4 linked regions of the Drosophila melanogaster genome follow. The protein of the gene in region 2 purifies or fractionates together with the protein of the main gene of each other region. This does not show direct contact. Each region holds a gene or a part of one and is shown on either strand. Other genes may lie near its edges. The genes, in order: dgt3, dgt6, tacc and cmet.

What was found.
Region 1: the proteins of dgt6 (region 2) and dgt3 purify together in Drosophila melanogaster (affinity purification with western blotting; 2 studies listed by BioGRID, with this or other methods). This does not show direct contact.
Region 3: the proteins of dgt6 (region 2) and tacc purify together in Drosophila melanogaster (affinity purification with western blotting, with the first as the bait; one study listed by BioGRID). This does not show direct contact.
Region 4: the proteins of dgt6 (region 2) and cmet purify together in Drosophila melanogaster (affinity purification with western blotting; one study listed by BioGRID). This does not show direct contact.

What each region holds. Positions count from the first base shown.
Region 1 is NT_033778.4:20,989,135-20,996,561, reverse strand, and holds dgt3 (dim gamma-tubulin 3), read left to right. Parts: upstream 1-2,180; 5' UTR 2,181-2,238; coding exon 2,239-2,256; intron 2,257-2,307; coding exon 2,308-2,636; intron 2,637-2,698; coding exon 2,699-3,061; intron 3,062-3,122; coding exon 3,123-3,788; intron 3,789-3,847; coding exon 3,848-4,025; intron 4,026-4,089; coding exon 4,090-4,233; 3' UTR 4,234-4,286; downstream 4,287-7,427. Other genes in the region: Prosalpha3 (proteasome alpha3 subunit), read right to left, coding at 531-1,116, 1,254-1,459, 1,569-1,571; CG3216 (uncharacterized protein), read left to right, coding at 5,391-5,688, 5,741-5,852, 5,918-6,083, 6,362-6,439, 6,540-6,816, 6,873-7,427. UniProt on the Drosophila melanogaster protein: As part of the augmin complex, plays a role in centrosome-independent generation of spindle microtubules. The complex is required for mitotic spindle assembly through its involvement in localizing gamma-tubulin to spindle microtubules.
Region 2 is NT_033777.3:29,124,995-29,132,601, reverse strand, and holds dgt6 (dim gamma-tubulin 6), read left to right. Parts: upstream 1-1,629; 5' UTR 1,630-1,710; coding exon 1,711-2,572; intron 2,573-2,638; coding exon 2,639-3,073; intron 3,074-3,134; coding exon 3,135-3,655; intron 3,656-3,721; coding exon 3,722-3,868; 3' UTR 3,869-4,018; downstream 4,019-7,607. Other genes in the region: Vha100-1 (vacuolar H[+] ATPase 100kD subunit 1), read right to left, coding at 98-226, 300-476, 777-893; Ctl2 (choline transporter-like 2), read right to left, coding at 4,729-6,795, 6,865-7,188.
Region 3 is NT_033777.3:4,741,816-4,749,726, reverse strand, and holds the start of tacc (transforming acidic coiled-coil protein), read left to right. Parts: upstream 1-3,312; 5' UTR 3,313-3,552; coding exon 3,553-3,930; intron 3,931-5,061; coding exon 5,062-5,263; intron 5,264-5,544; coding exon 5,545-7,875; intron 7,876-7,911.
Region 4 is NT_033779.5:11,264,293-11,272,378, reverse strand, and holds the start of cmet (CENP-meta), read left to right. Parts: upstream 1-3,376; 5' UTR 3,377-3,532; coding exon 3,533-3,671; intron 3,672-3,746; coding exon 3,747-3,869; intron 3,870-3,926; coding exon 3,927-4,273; intron 4,274-4,326; coding exon 4,327-5,228; intron 5,229-5,332; coding exon 5,333-5,497; intron 5,498-5,821; coding exon 5,822-8,086. Other genes in the region: cana (CENP-ana), read right to left, coding at 846-1,681, 1,735-2,081, 2,139-2,261, 2,337-2,475.

The sequences.
Region 1 (7,427 bases), on a different chromosome or scaffold from region 2:
GCCTAATGGGGGGAATTTGCAGATTTTGTTATTGCATAAAGCGAGAGAGCACGGTGAATATTTAACAACCGTGCGCCTATTTAGCTCTAGGCTGCTTGCAACTTTCTGTGGCACACACACACACGCGCGCTCATTGCCTGTTTGCTGCGTATGAAAAATGGTTTTCCAATCCGTATTCACCACGCGTTTTGCGCGCACTCTCCAATTACGCATAAGCCCCTTTGCAGAAACCGATTAACCGTTAGTTTAGCAAGTATAATTGAATTTTTTATAACAGCAACAGCAAATAAAAAGCGACGGAATTTTTCTCAAAATGTTTTGTACGGTATTTTTTTAGTGACTGCCCGTCGCTGGCCATATTTAGCAGCTCTTCGCTGCGAATGGCAATGGCACTGTTATCGATTAATCGGCCATCCCTATTGGCACAATGATAGTGGGTTTTTGTTTTTTGAAATTTTATTTCACACACTCCGTACATCGGTTACAAAAATCAGGATAGACCCTTAATCAATAATAATGCATCCTTGGGATTACTTGGTCGGCTGCTTCGCTTGCTTCTCCTTCTTGGCAGCCTCGGCCTCCGCCTGTACCTTTGTGTACTTCTCGATCAGCTTCTCCACATCGGGTTTCTCCAGGACACTGTATACGGTCTTATTGTCCACACGCTGCAGCGTGGCCATCTCGACCTTCTCCGGGGTCAGCTTGGTGGTGTCCAGGGTCATGCTCAGTACCTTGATGGCCAAATCCTTGGCGTCCGCCAGCGTCAGCTTCACGTTCTCCTTATCGGCCAGCTCCTGCTTCAGCATGGAGATCGCGGCACCGAAGTTGTTGCCAATACAGGTGGCCTTCCATCCGCCGTAGTTGCCGCTGGGATCCGACTGGTACAGTTGGTAGCCGTACTTGTTGTCCCATCCCATGTAGAGCAGCGAGACGCCGAAGGGACGCTTTCCGCCGTACTGAGTGTACGCCTGTTTGATGTCGCAGAGGTGCGACACCAGCTGCTCGCAGGGAATCACCTCGCCGTAGCTGAACTGGTAACGCTGGGCAATCAGACGCAGTTCTGAGGTCAGCACATTGGCATCGGAGGTGATGCCAGCCACCGAGCAGACCATGTTGCTGAGGGAAAACAAAGAGGCTTGGATAGAGATAGATTCGTAGAGAATGTAGTGGGTAATTAAGATCATGGCCAGTTAAATATATGGCCTGTGACCCTTGAATTCATCGTAGGATATACTACTGAAATTTCAACTCACTCGTTCAGGCGATAGATCTTCTCCGAAGGAATGGCGCTGTCCAGCAATTTGTTTGTGCTGCGGCACTCGGCTGCCAACAGGATGCCGTCCTCGGCGAGGATTCCGAGGCAGGTTCCGGCGTGCGAGATGGCCTCCATGGCGTACTCCACCTGGTACAAACGGCCCTCCGGCGAGAAGATCGTGGTGCGGGAATCATAGCGGCGAGCCTGGGAAAATACACGCAAGTCAATTACTACCACGATTGCTAGCCTTCAATGGTCATCGGCCCAATGGTGGCTCTCAGACCAATACCGGTCTTCTGGGCGCGGTACTTACCATTGCTAAGGAATATACCAATTTACAAGTTTATTTTGCAAAACGAACAGAATTTACTTGTCATTCAGTGTAGGGTTGCCAGACTGCCACACGAAGTGCGTCCAAAGCGGTACCAGGGCTGCAAACTAGATGGCGTTAGGGTGTTTCTATTTACCAGGGGTGGTGTGCACGTTTATCCACATATCGATATAAGGTATTAAAATCATTTTAACAAAGATCAATTTATAAGCCCTTTAAGATTGAGGTGTACTAAAACATAATATTTACTTGAATTAAACTTAAGAACTTGTGTCAAATTTAGAAAAATTGTATCCTTACTTCATAGCAAAAATTTAAAATAATTCATATATAAAATATATATATATAATAAACAGAAATTTATTATATATATATATATATATATATATATATTATATATATTATATATATATATATATATATATATATATATTATATATATTATATATATATATATTTAACAGAAATAGATAAGAGTAAATATTTCATGAAATCGTTGATAGGAAATCAGGAATTTCTACGATTTTTATTAAGCTTAATTATTAAGCACTATTTCCTGTTAATTTTCAAAAGGTACCATCTCTAGTAACGTCTCTGAAACCTTTCGATATAACCGATAAGTAATCAGCTTGTGTTGTCATTTTTTTAAAAGATGGGCGATCTGCTGAGCGTATGTGTGATGATTTAATTAATGATCAGCTTATAATCGCCATGATTGCAGAACTCGGAATTCTTCAAGAAGCTGGGAGTGGACAGCTCGAACCAGTGGATTCTGTACGATGAGCAGATGGAGATGTTCTTCAAGTTCCTGTCCGGGAACATCACGGATGCAAATATCCTCACAGAGCGACAGGTTCTGGAGCGGGAGGAGATGCAGCGGCGGGGCGAGTGGCTAAGTGCTTCGGATCGCGAGCTCAAGCTCCTGCAAATCGAGGCCGAAAGTCCGGGGCTTCTCAACTACAAGCAGCAGGATGTCGACGCCTTGACCATGAGCATTGAGGCGATCGAAGATGCCTCAAGGGATTATGCTACGCTTCTGGAAGATATGATGTAAGGGAAAAACTGTAACCTTCCTCATATATGTTCGATCGATGGTCAATCCACTTTTGCAGGACCACAAAGCACTCGATAACTAAGCACCTAGGCGAGGTGGAGTGCGTCACCGCCGAGTTGCAACTGAGGGAGAAGGATCTGATAGCCGAGTGCCAGTCCAAAGCCAAGCAACTGGAGGAACTGCAGCAGGAGAACTGCCGGCTAAGCGCCGAAGCCAAAAAGGCATTCACCGCCCCACAGTTGCCGCCTCTATTCATGCATCAACTGCCATTGGAGCAGTATTTCCACAAATGCGATTCATTTATGCAATACTTTACTCTGTATGTGAAGGAGAATTTTAAGATCCAGGACTATGATGAGTTCCAGAGCGCGGAGGAAGATCTTGGGCGCGAAAAGGCCAAGCTGGAGGACTTGGAACGTGGGTAAGCACAAAGGTTCTGTGCTAAAAACAATGCACATTAATTGATATGACCGTTTTTACAGCATCCAGTTTTATGCACTATCCTACATAAGAACAAAGGCCAAGGTGAAGGCCACGCAGTGTCTTATTGACCAGTTGGATCTTGGCAAGATTCACTGCCTCAGTTTAACGGACATGGCGCGTGAAATGCACGATCTGCAGCTGCTCAACGACTATCAACTGAGCAATACACACGATACGCTTTTAAACGATCTAACCATTCACATTCAGCAGCACACCCAGCGACGTATTGAGCTGGTTCTCTACGAGAACACTAAACTGAAGTTGGAAAGAGCTGTTCGACGTCATGAAAGCGACAAGAAGCTCACTAAAATCATCTCAGATGCTCTGTCCAATGCGGAATTGCTGTGGATTGCGATCCAACTGGACTGCGACAAGAAGCGCAACTGCCTGGACACTTCGGAGGAGTTGCGCGACCAAGCGCAGGCCACTTGGCAAAGAATCCAGACCATGCGCTCCATTAACGCCAGTTATCAGGGCATTTGTGCCCAGTTTGTGCAGGAGATTGCCAATTTGTTGTCAGCCCACTTGGGACAGAACATAAAGGCAACTGAGGCCAAGGCTTGTCTCTTCGAATACGAAAAGTTCGGTCGCCTGCTGTCTTACTCCTTTCAGAGCATGCTGAACCGAAAGTCGTGTGCTGCTGTTCAGGATCAACTGGCAGAACTGTAAGTTGCAATACTTAACTTTGATACAGATCGTTTAAGCTATTAATATTTTTTTTTAGCAAGCGCTTGGAGCAGACTTTGCGGCCGTTTGTCTATGATTCCCCATTGGAGCAGCCCATGTTTGAGAACGTTCGCTACTTGAGCGCCATATACAATGTCACCCAGCAGCAAACTCGCCTGGATGAGTCAGGGCGTTCCTTGCGAAAAGATTTCCTGGAAAATGTCGTGGGGCGCATTGTAAGTATACTAATTAACTATAAAATCATGGAATATAACATTTTAATGTTGTTTATCCTTTTAGGAGCGGGATAAACTGTATCGCTATAGCGTAGTCCTGTGGATTTGGTTTCTCACTGAGCCGCAGCGCATGATGCATGCAATTGATGAGGTCAAAAAGGCAGCCGCTGCAGTAATTCGTCCAGGTGGTGGTCTGCACCGCAAGTGAACTTAGTTGATTTAGAATCTGGTCAGTAAATAAATGTTAAATTATTCAAAAATAAACATTACGGCGTTGCTAGTCTAATAATAAGTCAATACACTAAATTTAGGGATGCTGTATAATGTGTGTATGTAAAGATTCTTAGGCAGCAACATGATTTACTTTTGCTTACGACTTTGGTAATTGTTTTCCCCCCTTTGAAATGCCTTTTCCCTGGGCTATCAGATTTGGGTTCACTAAACACCGGGCGTATTAAGGCAGCATCGTCTTAAAGCAGTCTACACGAGTGCCACCAAAGAGACGCATTAATTGCTGGCGGCACGCGACGGCGTTTCCAAGCGATTACCATTCAGATTTGGCCAAGGAGCAACAAGTGAGGCCATAAAACCTTGTTCGCCTAACCTAGAGATTCACTTTCCGTGCAGACGAAGTCATTTGCCCGCCGATTTGCAGGACTCTCATTGGCTGCCGGCATTCGGGCTGCAGGACGAGTTTTGCCGAGCAGAGGTCCTTGCGGATATAAAAGGACCAACAGTTGTGGCCACTGGTTCACTCGATTATCGTGCTTCGGGCCATCTTTCCCCTCGTGACTTCCGGTAATACAATTGGATAAAGTGAAGTGTTTGTGCAAAGTGTGTTTTTTTAGTCAAATAAACCTTAAAAAGTGCTTCTACAAAACATTAAATATTTGGACTGCTTTAAGGACTTTAAATTTAAAGGAGTACAGCAAAGAAGTGGAACATTTTAAAGCTTTAAATGGATAATTACTCGCAACTCATTACCCCTTAGTGCTATTTGAATTAATTTCAAATTTATATGTGACCCTTAAAACTCAAGTGCTGCTCGGCGAATTTGAAGATCTGGACAGATTTTTGGGTTCAAAAGGATATTAAGTCAGTGAATGGGATTTAATATTCATACTGCATGGGCTATAAGAGAATTAATGTCGCAATTCTGTTTTAAATTTAGTAATTTAAAAAGTTAAGGTGTTGAATGTGTAATGTAATTTTAAGGAGCAAATGCAATATTTTGCTAATAATTACCTAATTTAGACAAATTCTTCAAAAGAACAAATATTTGTTCTTGTATCTAGTTACAGCTAAGTTAGCCACTTAGGTCCAGACTTATTGGATATTTTGTGTTTAATAGTTAGACTCCACGAAATGCATCTGCTTGGGATCAGCATCCACTTCTTCTTCCTGATGTACGTCAACTGCTTTAGTGCCCATCCGAATCCCAGGCGCAATGATATAACCTGGGATGATCTGAACAAGGATATTAGTTTGGACTCCACTACTTCCTTGGCGGGGCTCAATGCCAGTGATGCGGGCCTAGAGCAAAGAATGTACGAGAGGAGCAGGGAATCCAAGTCTACGCAGCTTTCTAGATACACTGAGGTGGGCGAAATGGGCTCCACAATGCGTGTCTATAACGTTGGCGTTCTGATGGCTTCTCATTTGGGTGAGTGCTCTGATAGTTGGCTTCAGATTTAATGGCTCATCAATTGGACTAGATTCTCCATTCGATCTGGAGCGTTGTGGACCGGCCGTTGACTTGGCCTTGGATGAGATTAACAAGGTTTTCCTGAAGCCTCACAACATAACACTACTGAAAAAGAAGGGAAGGTTGGTACATCTAATTCTGTGAGTTCTACTCGTACCACCACCTATCAAGTTCTTATTTATGTTAGCTATCCATCCTGTTCGGGTGCTCGGGCTCCTGGACTGGCTGCGGACATGTACTTCCAGGACGACGTAATCGCGTTTATTGGACCAGCCTGCGCCTTTGCCCTTGAGCCGGTGGCACGTTTGGCCGCCTATTGGAACAAGCCCATCATCACCGGCATGGGAGATCAGGTGAGAGCAGCGGATTCAGGGCCAGAATATCCAAGTCGCGTGTCAGGACACGCAGCACGCCGCTTTTAATAATGTGGCCTCCAGCCTGAGCTTCAGACTAATCCACATACCCTTGTGCCACATCCAGAAGTAATCACATTTAGCCAGCTTAATTGTGCTGGTCGTACTCTTGACATTGGCAATTAAATGCCTTTTGGCCCGCTCTTTAATTTGCATTTAAGTTTGCCCGTATTATTGACAAATGGCAATCTCCCCCTATTTCGCCCACCTGCTGCTAGCCGCCTTCCTCGGAAGGTGAGCTGACGGTCACTTCCGGAATCCTGGGAAGGATACACAAGTGGAAGAATGAGAATACGGTAAGTTTTGCGCGGGGAAGTTCATGGATTGTAGTTTAAATTAAATAACATTTAATCTCTGGCCTGGTTTTCCGGTTTGTTCGGCTGCTGCTCCTTGCAGGGCATGTTCAAGGACAAGTCCAAGTACCCGACGCTCACCCGGATGTCCTACTGCCAGTGCCGCCTCATCCTGGTCTTTGCCAGCGTCATTCGGCAGTTCAACTGGAATCACGTTGCCCTGCTGGTGGACAGATCGGAGCTCTTCTCGTGGACGGTGGGCAAGAATCTGGAGTACGGTCTGCGGCAGGAGGGACTCTTGAGCTTCGTCAAGGAGCTCAACGGCAACGAGGAGGAGGTGTACGAAAACTATCTAAAGGACGCCAGCATGTATGCCAGAGGTAAGATTAGGTAGATTATACGATTATATACGCAGGTTTTAAACTTTCCTCGTCAGTGGTCATCCTGTCGGTTCGCGGCGTTCTTGTGCGAAAATTCATGTTGGCAGCCCACAGCCTGGGCATGACCAATGGCGAGTGGGTGTTCCTGGACGTGGAAATCTTTCAGAGCGAATACTGGGGCGACAAGGGTTGGGAGATGAAGGATGAGCACGATGCCAAGGCGCGGAAGGCATACGAAGCCCTCCTGAGAGTCAGTCTCCTGCAGCCGACAAGTCCCAAGTTCCAGGACTTTGCCGACAATGTGAGGGAGAATGCGCTCTACGATTACAACTACACGTTTGGCGAGGGCGAGGAGGTGAACTTCTTTATTGGAGCCTTCTACGATGGCGTCTACCTGCTGGGAATGGCCTTGAACGAGACCCTCACCGAGGGTGGTGACATCCGGGATGGGGTCAACATCACCAGGCGGATGTGGAATCGCACCTTCGAAGGTATCACGGGGCACGTGCGCATCGACGACAACGGTGACCGGGATGCTGATTACTCCATTCTCGATCTGGATCCCATCAATGGAAAGTTCTCCGTTGTGGCCCATTATTCCGGTGTTCACA
Region 2 (7,607 bases):
GGCCGCTTCAATGGCCGGCATTTGTTAATGGTAAATCGGTAACCGATCGCAGTTTGTTAGCTGATACCCATATGGAGTTACTCATGCCGCAGCTTACCTCATCGAAGAACACTTGGGTTTTGCGCAAAATATGCTTCAGCTCGGTCAGCTCCAGAAAGTTGCGCTTCAGGGCCTCGGCGTTCTGATTCACCTCCCTCAGCTCGTTCTCCAGCTTCTCAAAGGTGGCCTGAGCAGCAGACAAGAAAGCCATATAAGTTCAACAGTGTTTAGCAGAAAACAGGGAGTATGGCGGCGTATACCTCCAGGTCGATCATCTCGCGGGGCTGCGGGGCCTCGGGACTCTCCCCGGTGTCCAACATGGGGATGCCGTCCTTCTTGATCTCCTTCTCCAGGTAACGCAGCTTGCGCTCCATCTCATCGCAGCGGCGCACCTCGTTGACGAACTTCCTCTGGAAAGCGTTGACATCGGGATTGAGCTGCGGATTTCAAAAGATTGGTTTGTTATTGGGGGATCTCAAAGATACTTCATTTGTGCGATCAAGATATAGCACTTATGCCACTATATTTTTCAATTTTATTTAAATGAGGTAACACACGTAGTTATACTATACACTTAGTAGCTGGTGTCACCAGCTTTGCATTTACTTTGCATTCGCGTTAAAGGGGACGTTTCATGGAATACCGAATTCGCTAATGAGGTAAGGGGTATGATTGTGGTTTATGGTTAGTCAGTGCGGCTGCCTCGACCGCAGCTTTATGTAACCCATCCTACTCACATCTCGGAACTGGACCAATCCCAGTTCTCCCAACTCGGAGACGCAGGCGTAGGCCGCCTCGCTCTGCAGGAACAGCTGGCACAGCGCCATTTCCTCGCTGCGGAATAGGGAACCCATTGTGGCAGCCGGATTCCCGATATCTGCGAATGGAGAACAGACACTAAATCAGAATGCATATGTACATATATAGTACACAATGGGCCCATTCAATTGCATGATTCATGGCCAAACTGGGTTTCTTCCTAAGTTTTGCGGCCGTGTCGCATACATATTTTCATGCTGATTTGGTTATCGTTTCGGTGGGCGGACGTTCGCTTGTCCCCCAGATTATTTGTCTGTAATCTATACTATATATGCGCCGAGATTCGATTTCTATACCCCATGCGTATATTGATTTTTCTCCGCCGCGGACAAAAAGAAAGTGCTACGTTGGACCCGGATGCCAAGGTTTTCGGCTCGTTGGGGGTCAGCCAGTGACTGGGCTCGAGCTTTATCCGAAAACTATTTAGTTTGTCAGGGGGTCACTTCGAAATGAACGTCGATTAGTTAATTACCAAGTGCTTAAAAATTAAATATAAATTCGTCCACAAACTCCAGCAACCGACAAATTTCCGAACTATGAATCTAGTGTGACCGTGGCAGGTCATTGGATTTATACCAATCGAGTAACTAGGGAAATAAATTTGTACTTAAAAACAAATATCTGGGAAATATTATAAAAAACATTTAAAAAACACAAATGCTATTCGCAGTTACTATTCCTAGGGAAAATAAATAGATTTATCCCTTTTATATAACATTTTTCGTCAATATAAACAGGCAGTGGGAACGTCTTCATTCAGTTGAATTCAACCACTTGGTAACACTGGGCAGCAACAAAAACAAAGAACTTCAAACTAAACCGCCATATTTTACTTAATTTCTGTGCTAAAATATGGATCGGACCATAATTGCACCGTGGAAGGCCGAAGAGAAGGAGCAGAGCGAGAAGCTCCACAGGAAGCTGCAGGGACTGGCCCTGGTGCACCCCCTGCCGGACGAGCTGCGTAAGCTGATTGCCTGGGACATGTTCCTCAAGCCCAACCAGGTGGCCTTCGTGCATGTGATGCACTACCTCTTCCGTCTGCTGGATCCCGCGGAGTTCAAACGCCGCTTCTTCTGGCCCATCACCGACAAGAAGTCGGAGGCGAACTTTCGCTCCAGCACGGTGGAGTATCTGAAGCATCTGAACGAGAAGCACCAGCTGCATTGGGCCAACATCAAGTCGTATCTGGTGGTGATGCCCGGAGGCATGAGGTTCATCAACTTCCTGCTCGAGTTCGTGGGCTTCGTGATCCAGGAGCTCATCAAGCAGCGCGAGAAGTCACTTGGCTTAGAGGCGGGAACACCAAACGTGAGCGCCAAGGTCATGGCCCGCCAAAATGCCGTGATGAAGGAGTACGCTTCTTCGTATGTGGTCAATCTGGAGGAGAATACGGCCCTGTTGCGGGACAAGACCCAGAAGATCAGACGCCTGATGGCCGATCTGTCTGCAGACATGGGAGTGCCCGAGGAGCAACTGGCGGACGATGGCTTTCTGGATGAGTTCGAGGCCACCGCTGCACTCGGCGTGGAGCGGGTCATTACCCAACCCACCGAAAGGAAATTCGACCTGGAGGCATCTCTGTGCGGTCTCAAGGAGGCCATCGATCTTTTCCAGGTGAAGCAAGCCGAGAACAACCAGAGCAAGGAGGCGGTGGAGAAGGCACTTCGGGGCATGCGAGTGCTGTTCGACTGTGATGCAGTCACAGAAGGAGGTGAGACATCTTTGGTTGCATCCTTGCAGGTCTTTAAATTTAAATGGTTTTTCAATTCCTTCGCAGATTTCTACGATCCTTTGGGCGCATCAAAAATGGATGCGCTCTTAAACGGCTTTAATCGGATCAGCGGCACAATTGCCGAGCAACTGGATGCTAATGACCACTACAACGAATCGAATGCGTTTGTCACCACCGATTTGCAGGCTCTTCGAGTGGAACTTTCACAGTCCGAAGTCCAATTGAACAATTTACTCAAGAAACTAAACGAACCGTCCAAAAAGGACAAGGGAAGTGCCAATGCAAGTGGCTCCGCCAGGGTACAGACGCTTCAGCCGGCCACGCCTCGCTTCGAATCGGTTATCAGCTCCAAATTTGTTTCCACGCCTCCCATCAGAATCGACATGGGCGGCGGTGGCGGTCGCAATGCCCCAGTGCGTCTTGCACTGCAAGATGACTTCAATGGCAAACAGTTTGATGCCTTAAGCAACAGCTTACTCGGTAAGGAGTGAACTAAACCGTTCGCTTAGTGACCCTCATCCTTATGAGTTTTCCTTTTCAGCACCTGCGCCGCCTCGATCAGCACGCAAGCTGAAAGCCCTTGATCAATCGACCGGCATTGACCTTAATGGCACTTTAAACCGATCCAAGATCAACGATCCCATGCAAATGCTGCGCACCATTCACAAAAACACCTCCAAGGTCAAGGCAGCTCCGCAGGCGAATCTCTCCTCCCTGGGCAGCAAGTGGAAGCAAATGCAAGCGTCATTCGGTTTCGATGAGGCGCCGGTGCCAGGAGCAGCAGTGATCTCACCTCAGACCTCACCAACGGATCCCAGCGATCCCTTTACACCCTTGAGTGGTAGCGAGTGCACCCGAATTGAGCGCATTCCGCGCACTTCGGAAAACAACACTTCACTGATCGCCAAGAGCGCTGCGGTTATAAAGGTCCTGGAGGTATCACGGAATGTGCTTAATCTTAGCACCTCGCCATCTGGACGCCTAGATGCACTGGTTCCACATACCGAGAGCCACCAGCAAGATGTCGCGCCACGTCTTCAGCTCAACGACAGAACAATCAATGTAAGTGGGATCAACAATAATACGTGCCTACGAAATATACGAATCTCAAGTTCCTTTTTTTTACAGGACTCACTGCAGCTTGATCCCGATTTCAACATTGAAAACGATAAGAATGCATTCAATGTCTCGCATAAATTCGATTTTGATCAGATTGGTGGTGAGGATGACCTGCAGAACATCAGCGATAGCGTGCTCAAGGATATTATCTTTTAGTCCACGGGAATCGCGAATGGCCAATATTGTTTAGGTAATAGATTTTGTATTCTTTTTCTAATTGGTTATGAGGTTTTTAAACGAAATATACTTTTTACTTTAGTTTTTAATATTACCCATATGAAATTAAAACTAAAATCTTTCAGCTTGAAAGCAATTTTCTTCTTTTAAATACATCTATAAGTATACCAGGCTTTTCGAAATTCGAGTTTCAGGACTTAAGATTATTATTGAAATAAACAACCTTTGAGGCAGTATTAAGGTTTATTATATATATACTTTTAAAAGTCATATCTTATAGCTATTGTTCTTCATTGCGGCTTCAGCGATCTGTTACATCCTTGCAAAATCAGACTTTCTGAAATGAGTGGGTTGAGCGTTCTAGATGAATGAACGGCAAAAGTATGAAACAAATTGTATAAAAATAAAAAAAAATGAGTGAATATAATGATGGAGAAATAAAATAAGAACAAAACTGAAAAGTGTGTCTTCAATGAATTCATTTTTATTAAATTCGAAAATTATAATAATTATCGTTAACTTAAACTTCATGAATGTGAGATATGTACTTTTGTGTCTCTGTATACATGTTATTGTATGGTATTACTTTTGGTCTTTATGGTCCGCGCCTATCACATGTCTAGCCGCACAAAAAACTTTACATATGGATACGGATACTGGCGTATTATATACACTAGATTAAAGATTAAGAGTATTGGCAAAGGAGCGTGCATTTAATGCAAACCCAATTGCAGCCGGTTGAGCAATCGCTCACAACCCCGATCGTTTCGTTTTGGGCTATAATAAATATATATATATATGTTTTACTTCAATAAAGTTATAATTTGCACTGCTGTCTCCTACTTTCCGCGGCGCTGACGCGGCGGCAGATTGTTCTTCTTGCCAAGAATCTTCATTAGCTGCTTGGACATGAAGAACGGCTTCTCCGGTGAGCCGTCGTTGCGCTCGCAGTCCTCCAGGAAGCACAGAAACAGTGTGTCCACTGCCGTCGAGTACACACCGAAAAACACGCTCGTTATGAGAAAGGCGGCAATTACCACCACCGTGGTGGGCACTGCTATGTAATTTAGCCGAATAATGCTCGGATTATTGTCCAGGAAGTAGTAGGTGGACGCCCCCGCCCCTGCGGTTAGCAGCAGTTTCGACAAAAAGAACAAAAAGTCCGTGACCTGATCCAGCGTCACCACACGCAGGAAGTTCCTCATAATCAGATTAAACGAGTCCGCGGCACTGGAGCAGAAGTTCTTGCCATGAATGGCGCACATGATGTAGGCATTCCGATTGAGGAACTTCAGGAAGGTCTCCAGCAACCAGAAGAAGCAGCGCATGCAGCAGAGGATGGCTCGTGTCACCGCATTGTCGTACTTCTTCAGCTTCTCGTGGATGTACTCCAGCACCAGACGGATCAGCCGGACGATGGCCAGGATGAGCGAACCAAAGGCCACGGTGCCCAGATGGTAGACAGCAGTTTGAAAGAATGCCCTTGTAAGGGTGAAGTAGGGCACATCCCTCTTTTTGAAGGTCCAGTACCATCGGGCGAAGGTCGAGGCCAGCACCATGTAGCTGAAGGCGGAGATGAAGAAGCTCAGCCAGAGGAAGCCAAAGACGTTGTAGAAGATGGCCCACTTAATCTCGATTGGATTGTTAATCGAGTCAAAGCTGCAGGTGGTGTTCAAGCAAGGGTTTCGGTTCTGGAAAAATGAGGTCAGCCGAACGCTACAATATTGCTGGAACACTTCTGGCTTGCAGGATCCGCCCACTGTGTAGTTGATGGCTGGACCTTCGCAGACGCAGTCCTCGGTGGTCACTTCGCCACTTTTCGTCAGCTGTCGCACCATTCTAAACGAAGGATCGCCAATTGAGCCCAGATACAGGCCCACGCCAATGGCAAACGCTATGGCGGCAATGAAGAGTATCCAGGAGAAGATGGGAAAGAACACGGTGCTGATCACGCTGCTCACCGCCTTGCTGCCCTCCTTGGTTAGGGCGATCGCTATCCGGATGCGCTTTCTTAGCACAATTACCAGCAACAGGATAACCACGAAGCACACGCCTACGAAGATGGACAGGTAGAGCCAGGTGTTCTGGTTTTGCAGGACATTCTTGACCGTGGAGTGTAGATTCAAGCCGTGTACGGGAACCGTAGGCGTATTCTCCCAGTGGATGTACTGCTTTACGGAGAAGTAAATACCCACCAGCAAGCCGATAAGCACGCCGAAGATGGAGAACCAGAGAATCGGAGCCGAGAGCCAGCGCATTAGAGCGATGTAGATCAGTGAGGCTACCAGGGTGCAGAAGCAAGCCACCAAAACGATCGACCAGGAGTTGACAAGATCCTCGACAATCTTTTCTCCCAAAAGCTGGGCGTCGTTTGTGCCATTGTAGAAGTGGGCCACCATGTTACCAACGAGCTTGGCCAGCCTCGTATCGGTCTGCATCATCTTCTCCTTGATGACAGCCTCGTTGAGTCTGCGCTTGCACTGGATGATCGGTTCCTCGTCCACTGGAGTCTGTTTGCCATTCGCCTGTGGAACAACGAGAGCCTGGGCATCCGTCATTTTCTGGTACATGACATCGGCCTGCATTTGAACTTCTGTGGTGGCGTTTCCGGGCAACATATGCAGCTCCCGCCTCGACCTTCCCCCATTTAGCAGAAACGAGGGAATATAATCACACACGCCCTGCGAGAACTCGAAGAGGCATCGTTTGAGGAATGGAGCACTCTTGATGTACCAGCGTGCGCACTGGTTCTGGTTAATGGCATCCTGAATGTCCGATTTGGTGCGAATCTGCGCCTTGTGCTCCTCCGACAAGCAGATGAGGCGACTATGCAGCTCCGCAAAACTTTGTTTGTCCTTCATAGTGTCCCAGACGAACGTCTCTCGGGGACAAGTCTCCACACAAACCTGTTGAAATACGTATTTCATTAAAAGTAAGATCAACTCCTTGCAAATTTGATGTTAATGGTATCTCACCTGTGGAGTGTCACATCCAGTGATGGGTACAAGTGGATCGATGCACTGATTCAAGTCGAAAAAGAATAGGTTTTTCTTGTTCAGCACTCCGGAGTCCATGCCACACTTTCGGTTAAAGGAGTCCGTGGGCACCAGCAGTTTGTTGAGATCGCCGTTCCTGATGGCGTATTGGGCTATGAAGGCCCATCCGCCCAGGAAGAGGACGAATAACAGCAGGCAGGGCACATCCGTGCAGCTGCGATCCCTCTGCCTCGGTCCCGTGAAGTTCCGGTCGTAGCGCAGTGGCTCGCCGTACTTGTTCATCAGCTCCACGCTTTCCGTCATCGCTCTCTACTGAAAGAGTCCAAGAAGAACCGAGTGTTTTATGTATGTATATACATAGAGCCACTATCGATGGGTCGTCGTCTCTAGGTAATGAGATTGTCAGGCGTATATCATGTAATTTATTTCCGTGCATGCGTCATTGTTTTAAAAATGGAAAACCGAATCTGTAGTGGGTGGTCGTGTTGGCGGTGAAGCCAACCACCAGCGGCTCTTTTTGTTCTAGTTTATTTGTTAGTTTGGTTGGGGAAAGTACGATGAGTAAATGAAATTGTCGGCGACAAAGTGCGGTTTGATTATATCAACGACAGGCGGCCAACGATCCCTTTTGGATTGAACCACAATTAAATAATATTTCTTCCTATGTTTATGAATAAGACTGTTTAACCTTTTAATGATCAATGAACCTAGCTCTGTAACAA
Region 3 (7,911 bases), about 24 Mb from region 2:
ATATGTACAATACGATGCATATAAATCGTTGTTATATAAGGTCACTTTCCGAAATATATTCCTATAAGTTATTCTTTATAAAAATAATATCAAACAACAACACATCTTAACTTTATTGTGATAAAAGATGATTTTACATTTCACTACATAAAAAAATTGAGCAGTCGTCACTACTTCAATACAACATATCCAATATCAATATTTTACTGCAGCGTGTCAAATGTTTGTTTAAAAAAGCGTATTAACTGTGTCAAATGTAAAATTTTTTTTGGCACAATAATGTACTTGAAAACTTTTATATGCGATCTACCTGTGTTATACTTTAAACTTTTGACTTGTACTCTTCAAGTATCGTGTGCTAGAAATATAAAATGCAGTATTATAATACTGTGTATATCTACATAAGTAGGTAGCAAACATTATATTCTCGGTGACAAAAGTGATTATGGTAATAATACCAAAGCTACTGTTCCCTTTTTAATTCCAATTCTTTATTTTGACCGACTTTCATTTACTTGAAAATTCGTTGAAAAAAAAAATAAAGAAAAACTTGGATTTTATTTAACCATTCATAGATCGAAATATTGTGTAAGTGCAATTAAATAATGTTATTAATAACATGCTAGGTAACATTTGCCCTCTGGTATTTTTTCCCTGCTGGCAATTTGGCCACACTGTCACTTATGCTTCTTCAAATTGTAGCGGCATTTTCGCCAAAGCAACGTTGGAAATTCGCGTCACCAATTTCATATTGCGATAAATAAGAGTTTTATCCGAAAACGTATAGCTTAACTGTGTCATCGGCCTGTAGAAGAGCGCTGCCTGCCGGGATACACATATGCCATGGAATTCGACGACGCAGAAAATGGCCTAGGAATGGGATTTGGTGGTCGCGGCGTTCTGCGGGAGATCAACAAAAACGATGGCGGCATTAAGGTAAGTTAATAGCTGGACTTGGAGGCGTGCTCCGTCCGCGATGTACCAATGCAGCCACTTTCGGCAGAGGCATAATTCAACTCACACGTCTACAGGTACATATGTGTGTGTTCGGTTATGTACTTTGTACATATGTGTGGGTATGCTGCGTCGCAGGCTGTTCTGCTATTTTCTTTATTCGCAATTGTTCATCGTAAATACATATGTACATATAAATTTCCATTATTCGCTGTTCCTATTAGCTCTGAGGCAGCTGTCGCGAACGAGAGTTCTCTAGTTGATCGGTGTCCGCCGGACATTGTCCATCCCAGGTGACCAGTTTCCCCGATCTGCCATAGCCATAGGAGAATGGGCAATAAGCCGGGCAAGACACGGAAACCGAGGGCCTTGTCCGGGAAAATTACCATAAAGGCGGACGACGGACGAGGGAATCGGGTATGCCAAGGGAAAATCAAAAGTTACTTATTCTTCCTTCTATATATTTGTCTCTTGAAATTTCCACTCTCCAGATGGTGCACTTTCCATTTAAAAATGCTAGTGTGTATCGCTATTATGCCAATAAATCAGTTGGCGGCTAACGGCTGCAAAATGTCAGTGCCTAATGCGGTTTACAGTCCAAAAAACGCCCATCTGAGGATTTAAGTTTGACTAAATGTCATTTAACTCCATCTTCCCTTTTGCCAACAAAAATGCTCATTATAAAGGATCTACAGATGGTTTCCACCCCTTTCCACATTTGCCTATTTTTAGATCAGTTTATAGTTGGCTCTTCCTCAATATTTGTTTTCTTTTATTTTCCTGAGTTCTATTGGATATTCGAATTGCAGCTTAAGGTTCAAATTCCACTTGTATTCTATTCTATTGTATTTATTGTGTTTTCTGAAATCAGTATACTCATTTGTGGCCACTATTTGGATTCCACTCAAGGCTTATATGCTTCAACAAACTACATTGGTTTTAAATTCACCCTGAGCCGGGAACCGTGTGATATCTTGTCACCTGTCGCGCGCTGCTTGGATAACGCTAGAGCCAACATCTAACTATTCCCCCCTCGTCAAGGCCCATCGTGTGGGATTCCGTTTCATTGCTTACATTTTCTCGCCAAACATGCAAAGTCAGCCGTTGGGCAATGTGGAGCTTGCAGATAGTGCGCCATGATGCGCAACAATGGCTGTGGGATTGCATGTCATCTGGGACCCACCAGGCCTCTACACTTGAAACAATGTGATGAGCCAAATCAACATATTTATTATTTTAGAGCACTCTACTTGCCTCTACTGGTATATCTTTAAGAGAAAGCATTTTGCAAATAAGACTGTTCTCCAAAAATCCTATGGAAAATGTGCAAAATAATTCTGTCATCAAAGCGTTGAATTTGCACCAAGTTCCTCCAGTTGATTTGCGAAGACAATATAAGCAGTCGGCGGTCGCCGTATTCTCGTATCCCATTTATTTATCCCCTTCTTTAAGTGTTTCGACTTATTTGCGGTGTCTTGCACTTTCACTGCTGCCTTTCAGTCTGAATTTCGTCTGAGGCCTGTATAGTTTTTCAGTTTTTCACTGCAGTTCAGTCAAAAAGGTTGTCAACTTGAGCCCGCTCTTTTGACATTATTATTTTATAAATGTTGCCCACGACCTCGACCGTTTCCAAAATGTATTTCATATATCTAAGAGAAGTGTGTTTAAATGGATCAAGTGTGTGTTGCCCTCTAGCTTCATAAAACCCAATATATTTTCTCGAAATAGAAAAGGGTAACTATTCCAACCATAGAAAGGATAAGATTTCATCTTCAGAATCACCAGCCAAGTCTATCTGGCCACTAAGACTTATATTATTTATATGCTAATAAAATCTTTGAAGGGTATATTTCTCGTAGCTCCAAAAGCTGAGTAATGGGTAGTCGAGAAAAACGACTGAGTTCTCTGTTGTTTTGATTTAATTTTCATTAGGAATATTTGTGCTTAAAAGTTCAGAGTATAACTTATCGGAACTATTTCAAGACTAAGGATGTGCTAAATAAATGTTTTAAGTTGGTATGAAATCCATAATGTGTAATATACAAAGGTGTCTCTAGCCGCCGTCTCACATGTGAAAACATATGGCAGTATTATAAATGGAAGAGAGGACCGTGCTGATAAGGGGAGAACGCCATGTGGGCTAAAACGATCCAAACATGAAGACATACGAAAACATCCGGATCGTTATGTGGATGCCATTCAAACTATTCGTTCTCTCACTCGGTCTGTCGATCCCCCGCACTCTCGCCGTGCTCTAAGTATTTGTGCATGTGTGACGCTGAGCAGAGCAAAGCAAATTGAAAACGAAAATATTTTTAAATTGATTTTAAAGGCAGACATGATCGGGAGGCAGTGAGAACCGCACGCGACAACGGGCCGTGAGAAACCCGGAGGTATTACCCAATATAATGGAAGCGGAAAATCACAGTAAAGATTTTACCGAGTAGGCGAGCCCAAATCTGTGTCACAACAAAAACCACAAAAAAAAAAAAAAAAAAAAAACACTAAAGACCAAACTAAGGAACTCTATAGATCCATTATTTTTTGGAGCCAAGTGAACCGTATCGCGTCTCAGGAGTTAATCGTGCGTAGAGCGGCATGGATTTCCTCGCGAATATCATCAAAAGACCCAAAAGCATCGCCACCACTGGCATCAGCACCAATCAGCCAACGACAATGGAAGCCCTAGAAGCTGCTAGTCCCGCTGATGAATGTTCTACACCAAGGGATAAGGGAGGAGTTACACTTGTATCCGCGCACCTGGACTCGTTACTAGAGTCCGCCTCTGAGGAGCTGCAACGACTGGAGGGAAAGCACTGTGAACTATTTATGGAATCCATCTCGAACCCACTCCCAGCCCCCGAGGACAGCACTGATAGTAGAGAAGAAATACAGAAATTTCTAAGCGAAATAAACTTCAATCTGAACCAAGTGAGTGCTAACGAAATGGAGCACTTGCAAGCCATGAGTGGCGAGGTATGTCTGAAAGAATTAGGACTATCTTTTTATGTGCATCCCTGGGGGGGGGGGGGGGGGTGTTCTAGTATTAGGCAAACTGCATAAATCTACACATTGGAATTTTTTTGTAATGTCCCAATGTGTTTTGCCGATTGCATATATAGTATTTATGCGGTTCCACTTGGTTTTGTCACCTTATTGCGTTGCAGAAAATATTATTTTAAATAGGGTTGTATCTAGCCATTAGCTTGGGCTAATATTCCGCAGGAATCTGCTTCCCATTACCACTCAAATTTGAGCCCATTGTCAAAAAATTAAAATTAAAATACTTATCAATAAAATCGAAACGGAGAAATTGGTCTAATGCCAGAATTTTCCTAATTTTTAGTGTCTCGCTCATAAGCCGGTCACCACTCGCCTTATTCTTCTGACTTTAACCTTGCAGCACCCATTATACTGCAATGCGCTCTAATTAAATTCCGCGTGTAGAACGATGCTCCCAAACCTAAATAGACATTAAACATGGCGGCCGGCCGCATTGAATCCGCGGCATGTTTATTTCGCACTGCACAAAAGCTGACGTCGACCCAGTTCCACGTCCATCTCCCCACCTTTTGCTCCTCAATCCGTTTCGTTGCCACCCTCCCAAACATATGCCATATACCCGATTTTTACGTCTTGGCTGGCTTTTTAATTAATGACATTTGCTTTTGTTGACTGACCGACTGCGACAAACATTTGAAATGTATGTCTTTTTTAAGCGTGAATTGAAGGCATCTGTATCATATGGGCTACATTAGATGAGATTGAAGTTTTTCAAATGAAGATCATAATTTCATAATAATGTATTCTTTTGTATATGATAATAACTAAAAATGGGGGTCCTATGCCTTTGTATAATTTCTTGGCAATGGGAAAATACGGGAAAAGTCATCCCAAATGCGATTTATTTATGCCAACTGTGGTGGGGCTCTTGCCTTTTTGTGTGTCAAAAATTCTTAATTAAATGACCAACCAGCTGCTACTCGTGATCATCTTTAAAACCCCATTCCCAACATCGGTTGTTCACGGTTTAAAACTATTCGGATCATGACCGCGATGTACATCTTGATAACTATATTCTTAAATTTTGCATCTCTTGTTTGGCAGCTGAGTCCGTTGGCGGTGAAGCCCAGTCCCAAGCCAACGAGCATGGATCAACAGAAGGCAATGGCGGCAGCTCTGGGGCATCAGACGGCGGTACCCGGTGGACTTAAGCCAGAAGACGACCTCGTTCCAAAGTTTGGAGGTCTTCCCGAGTTCGATGAGACGCAAATACCGGAACTAGCTCCTTTAAGTACCGATATGGATAGTGAGTAAATCTTGTTTGTGTAACCCAGAAATCTCTTAAGGTAGAAAAATTATATTGATGTACAAAAGAATTCCATACGAAATCCGCCAGAAGAGCGAAGTAATTTCTTCTATTTCAATACCGTCATTTATACAAAGGAAAGGGCCAGCTGGGGAAAATAAATCATTTCCAAGTTTATGTATAAATTTCTCGTTGTATTAATTATATAAATAAATTTCTTATATGTATTTAATTATTATTAAAACGAATTGATTAATATATCGCATTCATTCCTCCCTTAGCTCAACTGAAATCCAACCATTCGGATTCGGATGTTTTTGTCGAGTGTTTATCGCTTCATAGCGAGCGCTACACCGGAGATCGATCGGAGTTAGAGGCATATTCAAGTGCCCTTAATGATGTTTTGGAGCAGCAGCTGTCCATGACCTCAGTTTCTACACTGGGAGCTGAATTCAACGATCCTTTGGCAGTTAGCCAGCACAACAACGTCAGCTATGAAGCCATGGATGTGGATGACCTAAACGAAACCATGGAAATGTTAAAGGACGTCTTGAATGCGGAAGACCGTCATCTTATGCAAACGCATATTCTCAGCGTAACCCAGTCAAAACCAGAGAATAATTTTGTGCACTATCATCCAAATCAGGAGCAAAATAGGGTTGAACTAGACCAGTTAGCCAAACACTCTAAACCCAATAGTGATGCAAAGGAATCAGAATCATTGGTAGAATCAGTACTGTCTGAGGAGTCTGGTACACAATCCTTTGAGCCGAAGCTCACCTTATCTGCCTTGGACTCTACGAAAGACTTAGCTAAGCATCAAGAGGAAATGCAAACAAATACAAAAGATATATTTCAGAAAGAGAAGCACCACCCGGTCAGTAGTGCTCAGGTGAAGGACGCACAAAATCCTAAGGAGCCTGAAAAGGCCTTAAATCTCAAAGAGGCTTCTTCAGAACTGTCCACAAAATCAGCAAAATCTCTAGAATACCCTAATCAAGAGAAGCAATTTTCGGTGGCAGTAGAATCAATGGAGAGACCATGCACTGCCATCAGCCTTGAGCAAAATGCATCCCCAGCTATGGAGGCAACTGAAGACAGGACTGTGGAGGAGCTTGATCAAATGGATGTGGATGAATCCATGAAAGTGGATGATGCCACAGTGCTTAACTCATGTCGGCAGGAGCAAATTAATGCTCATTCTCCCGTTTCAAGCAAATTTTTCTTAAAACTCTGCGTTCAAAATGATACGGATTGTCAAGATAATAAAATGGATCAAAAAACTGCAGGAAAAGAAAGTGCATTAAAGATGACTGAAATAGAGCTGCCTGTAGAATCTGTCCCATCAGCTTCGCTCTCACCGCCGACACCCGCACTTCAAGCAAAAATTATCGAACTTTCCCTTTCCCCGCCCATACCTACACATCGCCCAAAAACAGCGGAGGAACTAGAGTTCCTGGCTTTGAGGGAGCTGCCTTTGCCTGATGGTGTCTCGACGGCGGGGAAGGTGGAATGTAAGCAGCTATCACACGGCCTGGTACCCATTGTGGCAGTCTTACCAACGCCACTTTACTTGGATCTGAAAGGGAATACAACCACTGCAAGCCTTCCAGAACCGACTTCGCCCAGTTTCCCCATCAAAGAACCTGCTGAAAAACAGTCCCACTTTCCACGCTCACCGCGTGCTCAGCTCGAGCAAAAGGACATGCCCTATTTGGAAGAGGCTGTGGTAGAACGTTCATCACATCGCAAGCAAAGCGATTTCGGAGTCATAGCGAAATCACCAATAGTCTTTGAGTTAACACAACCGAGTCCTGAGAAGCAGCACCTCAACGAAACCTTGCCAATGAGCGAGATTTCTCCCACTTCGTCAAATATGACCTTTGACAGCGGAAGCATTACGGAGGACAAATCACAGAAGGGTACAGAGAATATTGAGCCTTCTTCCACCCTTGCCGTAAGTCTGGGATCGGTTGATGATAAGCAGCGGCGCACTTTCTCGGTGGTTCAGCCCACGAAGGAAGAGGAGGAGGCCAAATCGCGTCGGACTTTCTGTATGGAAAATGAGAACCCTCGACGCACCTTCTGCATGCAGCAGAATGCTTCTCCAGCGGTGGAGGCTACCGAAGACACCGGGGCTGATGAAGTTATGGATGTGGATATCTCCATGAGGGCAGATGAAGTAGCCGTGATGAAGTCGCATCAGCAAACTTGGAAGGAACGCCAAGCACCAATTTCAAATTCACCACCAATTCCTACTCACCAACGTTTAAATAGACCTCCTGAGGCGATTTCTCCAGTGTCCCCATTGGGAAATGGCACCGTTGTGTTGGAGGAGCAAACTCTCTCTGCTAAAGAGCAAGCCACGCTAAGTGCCAGCGATGAGAAGGACGATGTTTTCTTGGAGCACTTTGGTGCAATTTCCCCAGTTTCGGATGACATGTTTAAAACCAGCAGCGCTTCCAACAATCAAGCAAAGTTTAGGGTCAATGCTGATGAAGAAACCGGAGGCAAAGGCGCTTCTGCGATGATCAGGAAGAGAAGTGGTACAGCTGGCGAGCAGGAAGAGATCTTTGATGCCGAATTCCATGATGGCGTCAACAACCAAAACCGTAAGTCAATGACCGCTTATATCGTTTGTAAGGAAT
Region 4 (8,086 bases), on a different chromosome or scaffold from region 2:
TTTCGCAAACGAAACAGAAGTGCAACTGCACTGTGCTATTATTTTGAGCGCAGATCTTTTACCCAAGTCACTCACTCACTCACTCACTTTTTCGGTTTCGGTTAGCCAATCTATATGCGTTACATCACAGTCTATAACGTTGGTGGATCGACAGTAGGGCCGACGTCATCGATCACCCAAGACGATCGGGGGAGGAGCGCGAGAGCGATGGGCGGAGGAAAAGCGTGCTGACTGACGGACAGCGGCAAATACAATGAGCATTGCGGAATTCCAGCGATCAAATTATCAAGAAGTTGGCCAGTTAACTACCTTGTCGATCGGCTGACTGCCTTATCGCGCTTCCAGGGCCACAAAGCGATCGTAGCTGGGGCGTCACATCGCATCCAGCCGAGTCTATTCGCAAAACTGGCTCACAACAGGCGTCGCCTCGCCTCTTTCCGCTCCCGGATTCTCCCCCAGAAATCTTTCCTTCTCGACGGCTATTTGCGTTGGCGTTTGTTTTGTTTTCGATTTCTTCGCGATCGGACTCCCAGTTGAGACAGCTTGCCCTCTTCGCTGCGACTGCTGCGAGAAAGCAAGAAGAGCGAGCGAAGACCGCACGAGAAGACAGCCGAGTAGAAGAGCACGCCGCACTCGTCTCCACCTCGTTTTTAGTTCAGGTGTCAGGTGAGTGCGCGCAAGAGGTGAGTTGGTATGTTCAAAATGCGCAAAATTGCTTACTTAAAGTACTTTTCAAAACGATATAGTCGCGTAGAATACTATGTAGTTTCGTTTGTTTAACTCATTTGAATCTTTTTATAACTCTAGATCTAAAAGTAAAATAAATAATTCATAAATTTACTTACTTCGGCACCGACTCCTGATACTTTTTTGACATCATTACTGAAGGAATTCTGCTAGCTGTCTCTCTTCCCAACTGTTTCGCCCGGCCAGGCATAGTGTCCATATTATCCGTTTGTAACCTTTTCTCCTTTAGGGTTTTACAAATGCCTTTGGCTTTGGGAGCAATCCCCCGCCGCTGAAACAAGGGTTTCGGCAGGTTAGTCAGCTTCGAAGGACGCGGTAGACGGGACTCCTCTGGCTCAGGCAATGCGAGAACAGGAGCGTCGCCTTCTGAGCCTGAGGCGGTTAAAGTCCAAGTACGACGACGCTTCTGGAGGCGATAGTCGTCAAGCGAGGCGCTGGAAACGATCTTCAACATGTCGCGCTTGATGCGACCTTCCAATTCCTGCAATACCAGCTGGCTCTCATTCTTGATCTTCTTCTTAGCAAGCTTATCCTTCAACATACTGATCCCGCGATCAAGTTGCCTCATCATCGTGGTTTCAGAGTCTATCTTGCAGACCTGCGGCTTGCAACGAATTTTTTTGGCACACGTGCCGAAGCTTATAGTGGATGACGACTCCTCCACGAACGATGGCGTAATTGTACAGATGATAGAGGTCAAAACATTTCCACCCAGCGAAGGCAGCATGATGCGCGGAAGTTTCGAATCGCGAAAGCTATTCGGCTTGCTATCTACACTCTCGGAGAGGCTCTTAACCAAGTTGCGAAAAATCATAAGGCTGGATGCGTGGTCCGCGGGGTCCACCTGTTCGGATCCAGCCAGATCCACCAGGCTCAGTACGCTCTGCTTTACGGTGTCGTTATCACTGTGGTCCGACTTTCGGGACTCAATGATCTGTAGAAATAATCTTGCATATTATATGATTAATACAAGAATCTAGCACTCACTATCCTGAAGATGGCGTGCGAACGACTGGACCGCTCGTTCATGTTGGTCTCGCCCACGACGCGCTCCTTGTTGCCCATGTAGAGCTGGCGCAGGAGGTCGTCCTCGCTGGTTACGATGGACTCCTTGCAGTTCACATTCACAATCCCATTGCCGGACTCATGGATCTTGAGGTCCTGATTCTTCTTGTTCAGCAGATCGTAGATCTTCTCGTTGTAGATCTCGATGTAGCCCACGCGCAGCAGAAAGTCCCGCTCCGTCTCACTGGAGATCTGTTGAAAGATCTCCTTGGCGGCTAGCACCATGACGCCCGGATTCTGTTCGTCGCCCATCATGGTGTACGTCTTGCCTGAAATGCATGCCCGGTTTTAGGTATACCGCCGCGTATATATAGCACAGTACCCACCCGACGACGTCTGGCCGTAGGCAAAAATAGTTCCGTTGGAGCCCTGCATGCAGGCGTGCACTATGTGCTTGGCCATCCGGTCGAACACCTCCTGGTTGCTGGCGCCCTCGTCGAACACATAGTCTGCCAAACGGAATGGAATGTAAATGAGATAAAGGTCTTGTAGATCAGGATACGCTCAACGCTCTAACCACTCACCGAAGACATAGGGCTCCGCATGGCTGTCCGCCAACTGGATGGAGCGGCCCTCCTTCACCTGCCAGAGTGAAGTGAGCCCGGGCTCGCAGGGACGCACCTTGATGCAGACCTGGATGGAGCTGGCGTTCTTCGTAGACATCTTTGCGACTTGTGGGAAACGTGTTTGACATGCACAATGAACAGACACAAACAGATTTTAACGTTTTATAAAAGCTAGTTTGATCGACATGTTAGTTTCTCTTTGTAAATTCGAACAAATACCGCTTCGGAAGCGAACCAGATCGAAATACGGAACCAGTAAATAGGCGCGAGCCAGTTCAATTTAAAAGTTTGAGGAGCTTTCGGCGAATATGAAAATATAATCCAATAGGCTTCGAACATAAAACTTTTTCCGAGCTTTTTCGTGATATATAATATAGATTATTATTATCTATATTTCCAAAATAGTAAAGACCGCTAAATTAAATGCTTACTTACAGACAGACAAAAGCTGAGGGGATTGTTTAATGCATACAGAAGAATACTGTCTGATATAAACATGAGATTTCATTGGAATAATAATCCCAGTTGTTCACTATTAAAAAAAATAGGAAAATTGAAAATTTGGAAAATATTATAGTGGTTATATTAGGGAGCTTAGTTATAATTTATTTCAAATATTTGTTTTGGAATCAAATACTTTCCACATTATATGTGTGCTATGAATAGAAGTTATGAATTAGTAGAAAAAATACGAACTTATATGAAATTTAAACCGTAGTTTTCGCATGTATTTAAGAGCTTGTTCTATTTTCTGTTTGACCTTAAAGTATTGAGTCATAGAACTTTGTTAGTTAGCATGCCCTACCAATAAGAACACAACGTCTTAGAATATATATATGCCGTAGCGACCCTTGATCAGGAATGTTAATGCAGCCCTGTGGGATAAGAACATAATGTGTTTCTGTTTTTATTTTTGCAGCCCTATTTGGAACTATGATAACAATCGATGAACCGATTTATCTATCGAGTCGTTAGCGCCACTCGAAGATATCGAAGCATATACATCCCTGATTTTGCAAAGCGGCATTTGTTCGAATTTAACGAGCAACAAAGATGTCGATCAATGTTTGTTTACTGTAAAACATTGAATTTTATGTTTGTTTATGAACTGCGTTCTGTTTATCATAAAGCATTGAGACCAAGAAGGCGCCAAGATGTCTGCGAAGAACGCCAGCTCCATCCAGGTCTGCATCAAGGTGCGTCCCTGCGAGCCCGGGCTCACTTCACTCTGGCAGGTGAAGGAGCGCCGCTCCATCCACTTGGCGGACAGCCATGCGGAGCCCTATGTCTTCGGTGAGTGGTTAGAGCGTTGAGCGTATCCTGATCCACAAGACCTTTATCTCATTTACATTCCATTCCGTTTGGCAGACTATGTGTTCGACGAGGGCGCCAGCAACCAGGAGGTGTTCGACCGGATGGCCAAGCACATAGTGCACGCCTGCATGCAGGGCTTCAACGGAACTATTTTTGCCTACGGCCAGACGTCGTCGGGTGGGTACTGTGCTATATATACGCGGCGGTATACCTAAAACCGGGCATGCATTTCAGGCAAGACGTACACCATGATGGGCGACGAACAGAATCCGGGCGTCATGGTGCTAGCCGCCAAGGAGATCTTTCAACAGATCTCCAGTGAGACGGAGCGGGACTTTCTGCTGCGCGTGGGCTACATCGAGATCTACAACGAGAAGATCTACGATCTGCTGAACAAGAAGAATCAGGACCTCAAGATCCATGAGTCCGGAAATGGGATTGTGAATGTGAACTGCGAGGAGTGCATCATAACCAGCGAGGTTGACCTCCTGCGCCTGCTATGCTTGGGCAATAAGGAGCGCACCGTGGGCGAGACGAACATGAACGAGCGGTCCAGCCGTTCGCATGCCATATTTAAGATAGTAAGTGCAGCCTGCTATTTTCTTTCCGATAATCTGCAACATGTATCCCACAGATCATCGAGTCCCGAAAGTCGGACCACAGCGATGACGACGCAGTGATTCAAAGCGTGTTGAACCTGGTGGATCTGGCTGGGTCAGAGCGGGCGGACCAAACGGGTGCTCGAGGAGCGCGCCTCAAAGAGGGCGGTCATATAAACAAGAGCTTACTTTTTCTCAGTAACGTTATCAAAAGTCTGTCGGAAAACGCGGACAATAGATTTACCAACTACCGCGATTCCAAGCTGACGCGCATTCTGCAGGCTTCTTTGGGCGGCAATGCATTCACATCCATCATTTGCACAATCAAACCATCGATCATGGAAGAGTCGCAGTCTACCCTTAGTTTCGCCACGCGAGCCAAGAAAATTCGCATTAAGCCCCAAGTCAACGAGATGGTATCTGACGCCACAATGATGAAGCGGCTGGAGCGAGAAATAAAGGTGCTTAAGGATAAGCTGGCCGAAGAAGAGCGCAAAAACGAGAACCAGCAAAAGGTAGAGCATCTGGAGAGACAAATAAAACACGACATGCACAAGATAATCTGTGGTCACTCCCTGAGCGACAAGGGTCAGCAGAAGCGTCGCCGTACTTGGTGTCCCACTGCATCGGGATCGCATTTGGAGCTAGCAGAGACCGGCACAACTGAAGATCGAATTGACCAATTTCCAAAGGTCTCACACCTTCCAAAACCAGTGTTTTTTCACACTTCAAATGCAGGCAAACGATGGGACAACATTCCAAAGACCATAAACATTTTGGGTTCCCTGGATATCGGTACCGAGAGCAACTCCATTAGTGAGGAATTTCTCCCGGCAGAATGCATTGATTTTGGCTCCCCTCGCCCAGATGTCCTCAAACCCATGTTGACCATCAGGCAACTGCCAGACCTGCCCCTCACTCCCAAGGGTCCCTTAACGTAAGTACTTCTGCAAGCTTTTTGATCATCCTCCATAACATTCATCACATAACAATCGCATCCACATACCCCGACCCGATCCCTGCACTTATTTGCCTGCACAGAACGGATAAAATCAAGAAGGAAATCCAGGACCTGCAAATGTTCACCAGCTTAGAGAAGCATTTTGAGGTGGAGTGCGAAGAGGTGCAGGGTTTAAAAGAAAAGCTGGCCGAGGTTACAGCACAGCGGGATAATTTAGAGCAAGAATCGTTAGCCGAAAAGGAGCGGTGAGTTAATGAGGTGTTTTCTGTCAAGGAATCTGTCGTCCAAAACATAGTGCCTGCATCGTAAAAAACGATGTAAACGTAACTCGACTTTTGTGCTTTAAGCAGTCAACCCAAAATCTAACATACCTATTCATACAAATCTGTAAAACTAGTGCAGCGATATTCTATTCCATTCTATAAAAACAAAACACTTAAGTATATGTTTCAGTTTTTAACAGTAAATTTTGTTTATAGAACACCACTCCACAATACCTGTTTGTTTGATTTATTTTATTATAGTTTTAGTGTTTAACAATAGTTTACTACTTGTGTATCTTCTTATAGTTATGATGCTCTGGAAAAGGAAGTAACCAGCCTAAGAGCGGATAATGAGGCTGCGAATTCAAAAATCAGCGAATTGGAAGAGAAACTGAGTACTCTAAAGCAGACTATGAGAATAATGGAAGTGGAAAATCAGGTGGCCGTGGGCCTCGAGTTTGAGTTTGAGGCTCACAAGAAATCATCGAAACTTCGCGTGGATGACTTACTCTCTGCCCTTTTAGAAAAGGAGTCGACTATAGAGAGTCTTCAAAAGTCCCTCGACAATTTAACCCGCGATGTCTTACGGAACAGCAAGGAGGGCCACATGCTTTCCATTGCCCCAGAGCAGGAAGACATCGCCGGCGACAGTATATGCAACAAGTGTGAGGAACTGGAGAAGCTGATTGCAGATTTAGAGTCCAAGAAAAATTCATGCGAGTGTGATCAGCTCCGGTTGGAAATCGTCTCTGTTCGCGACAAGTTAGAGAGCGTTGAATCTGCCTTTAACCTGGCAAGCTCGGAGATTATCCAAAAGGCGACTGATTGCGAGCGACTTTCGAAAGAGCTATCCACATCCCAGAATGCCTTTGGACAACTTCAGGAAAGGTACGACGCTCTGGACCAACAGTGGCAAGCTCAACAAGCGGGCATCACAACCCTACATGAAAAGCACGAGCACGTGCAGGAGAAATACCAGAAATTGCAGGAGGAGTATGAGCAGTTAGAAAGCAGGGCAAGAAGTGCCTCCAGCGCTGAGTTTCAACGGCTTCAAAATGACAACACGAAGTTTCAAGCCGATATCGCATCCCTCAATGAACGATTGGAGGAGGCCCAAAACATGCTTACGGAAGTCCAAAACTCTGAATCTACTGTGGAAAAGCTTCGAATACAAAATCACGAACTTACAGCGAAAATCAAAGAACTGGAGACGAACTTTGAAGAGATGCAGCGGGAATACGATTGCCTTTCCAATCAACTGATGGAGAGTGTCCAGGAGAACGATGCCCTGCGAGAGGAGATAAAGCAACGACCCACGAGTCACGTTGAGGAGTCTATGAGGAGTTCCGGTATAAGCTCCGATTTTGACGAACAGAAGCAGGATATAAACCTTCTACACCAGTTTGTTCAGCTTTCTGAGTCCGTCCAACAGATAGAGCTGCAGCATCATTCCGGCATCAGTCGCCTCTTTAGAGCCAACCAAATGAAACTGGATCAGAGCGAGCCAGGACTTAAGCTTTGCCTTGAGTCTGCTGAGTACATCGAGGAAGACAATCGTCAATCCGATGCAACTGAACCTATTTGTCTCAAAGGCTTTCTCAAGCGACACAGATTTCAGATAAAGCGACTTAGCCAGGAACATGTAGATATGGGAGAGGAGAAGCGATTGCTTGATATTATTTCGCAGCTGGAACAGGAAATCGAAGAGAAGAGTGCACTTATGGAGGCAACAGAGGCAACCATCAATGAAATGCGAGAGCAGATGACTAACCTAGAGTCGGCACTCCTCGAAAAGAGCGTTATAATTAACAAGGTTGAGGACTACCAGCGGCAGATCGAGTCCCTGGAAAAACAAAATGCGGAGATGACAATGGTATACGAGGAGCTGCAGGATAGAGTAACAAGGGAGAGCTCGATGAGCGAGAGTCTGCTCCGAGTTCCACCTGACGAGGATACCCTTCCAGGATGCCCTACATCTCCCAGTAGACGAGAACAGGAGGTGGCCACGCTAAAGACATCCATAACAGAATTGCAGTCACAAGTTTCTGATCTAAAAGCAGAACTTGAAAACCATTTAAGGCAGATCCAGTTGAAAGACGGGAACATAGCGAGACTACAGACGGATTTTGAGGAAATGAGTGAGCGCTGCTTATCGATGGAGGTGAGGCTAGCCGAGTTGGATGAGGACACTAAGCAAAAACAAGAACTACTGGATCGTCAGGCGCAGAAGCTCTCCGATGACCTATGCCTTATCGATCAGCTTCAAAAGAAAAACGCGCAGCTCGTTGAACAGTATCATAAAGCGACAGAATCTCTCAGTCTTGCGGATGCAAAGCCGGATCAGATACTACTTTCCTCCCAATATGATAGTCAGATCGAGAAACTTAATCAATTGCTAAATGCAGCCAAAGATGAGCTACACGATGTGCGAAGGATAAAAGATGATGAGATAAGTGCTTTGCGAATGGAGTTCCTGCTCCAAATTGAAACGAATGAGAAAGAGAACCAAGCCAAGTTCTACGCTGAATTGCAGGAGACTAAGGATCGCTATGAGAGCAATGTGGCCGAGTT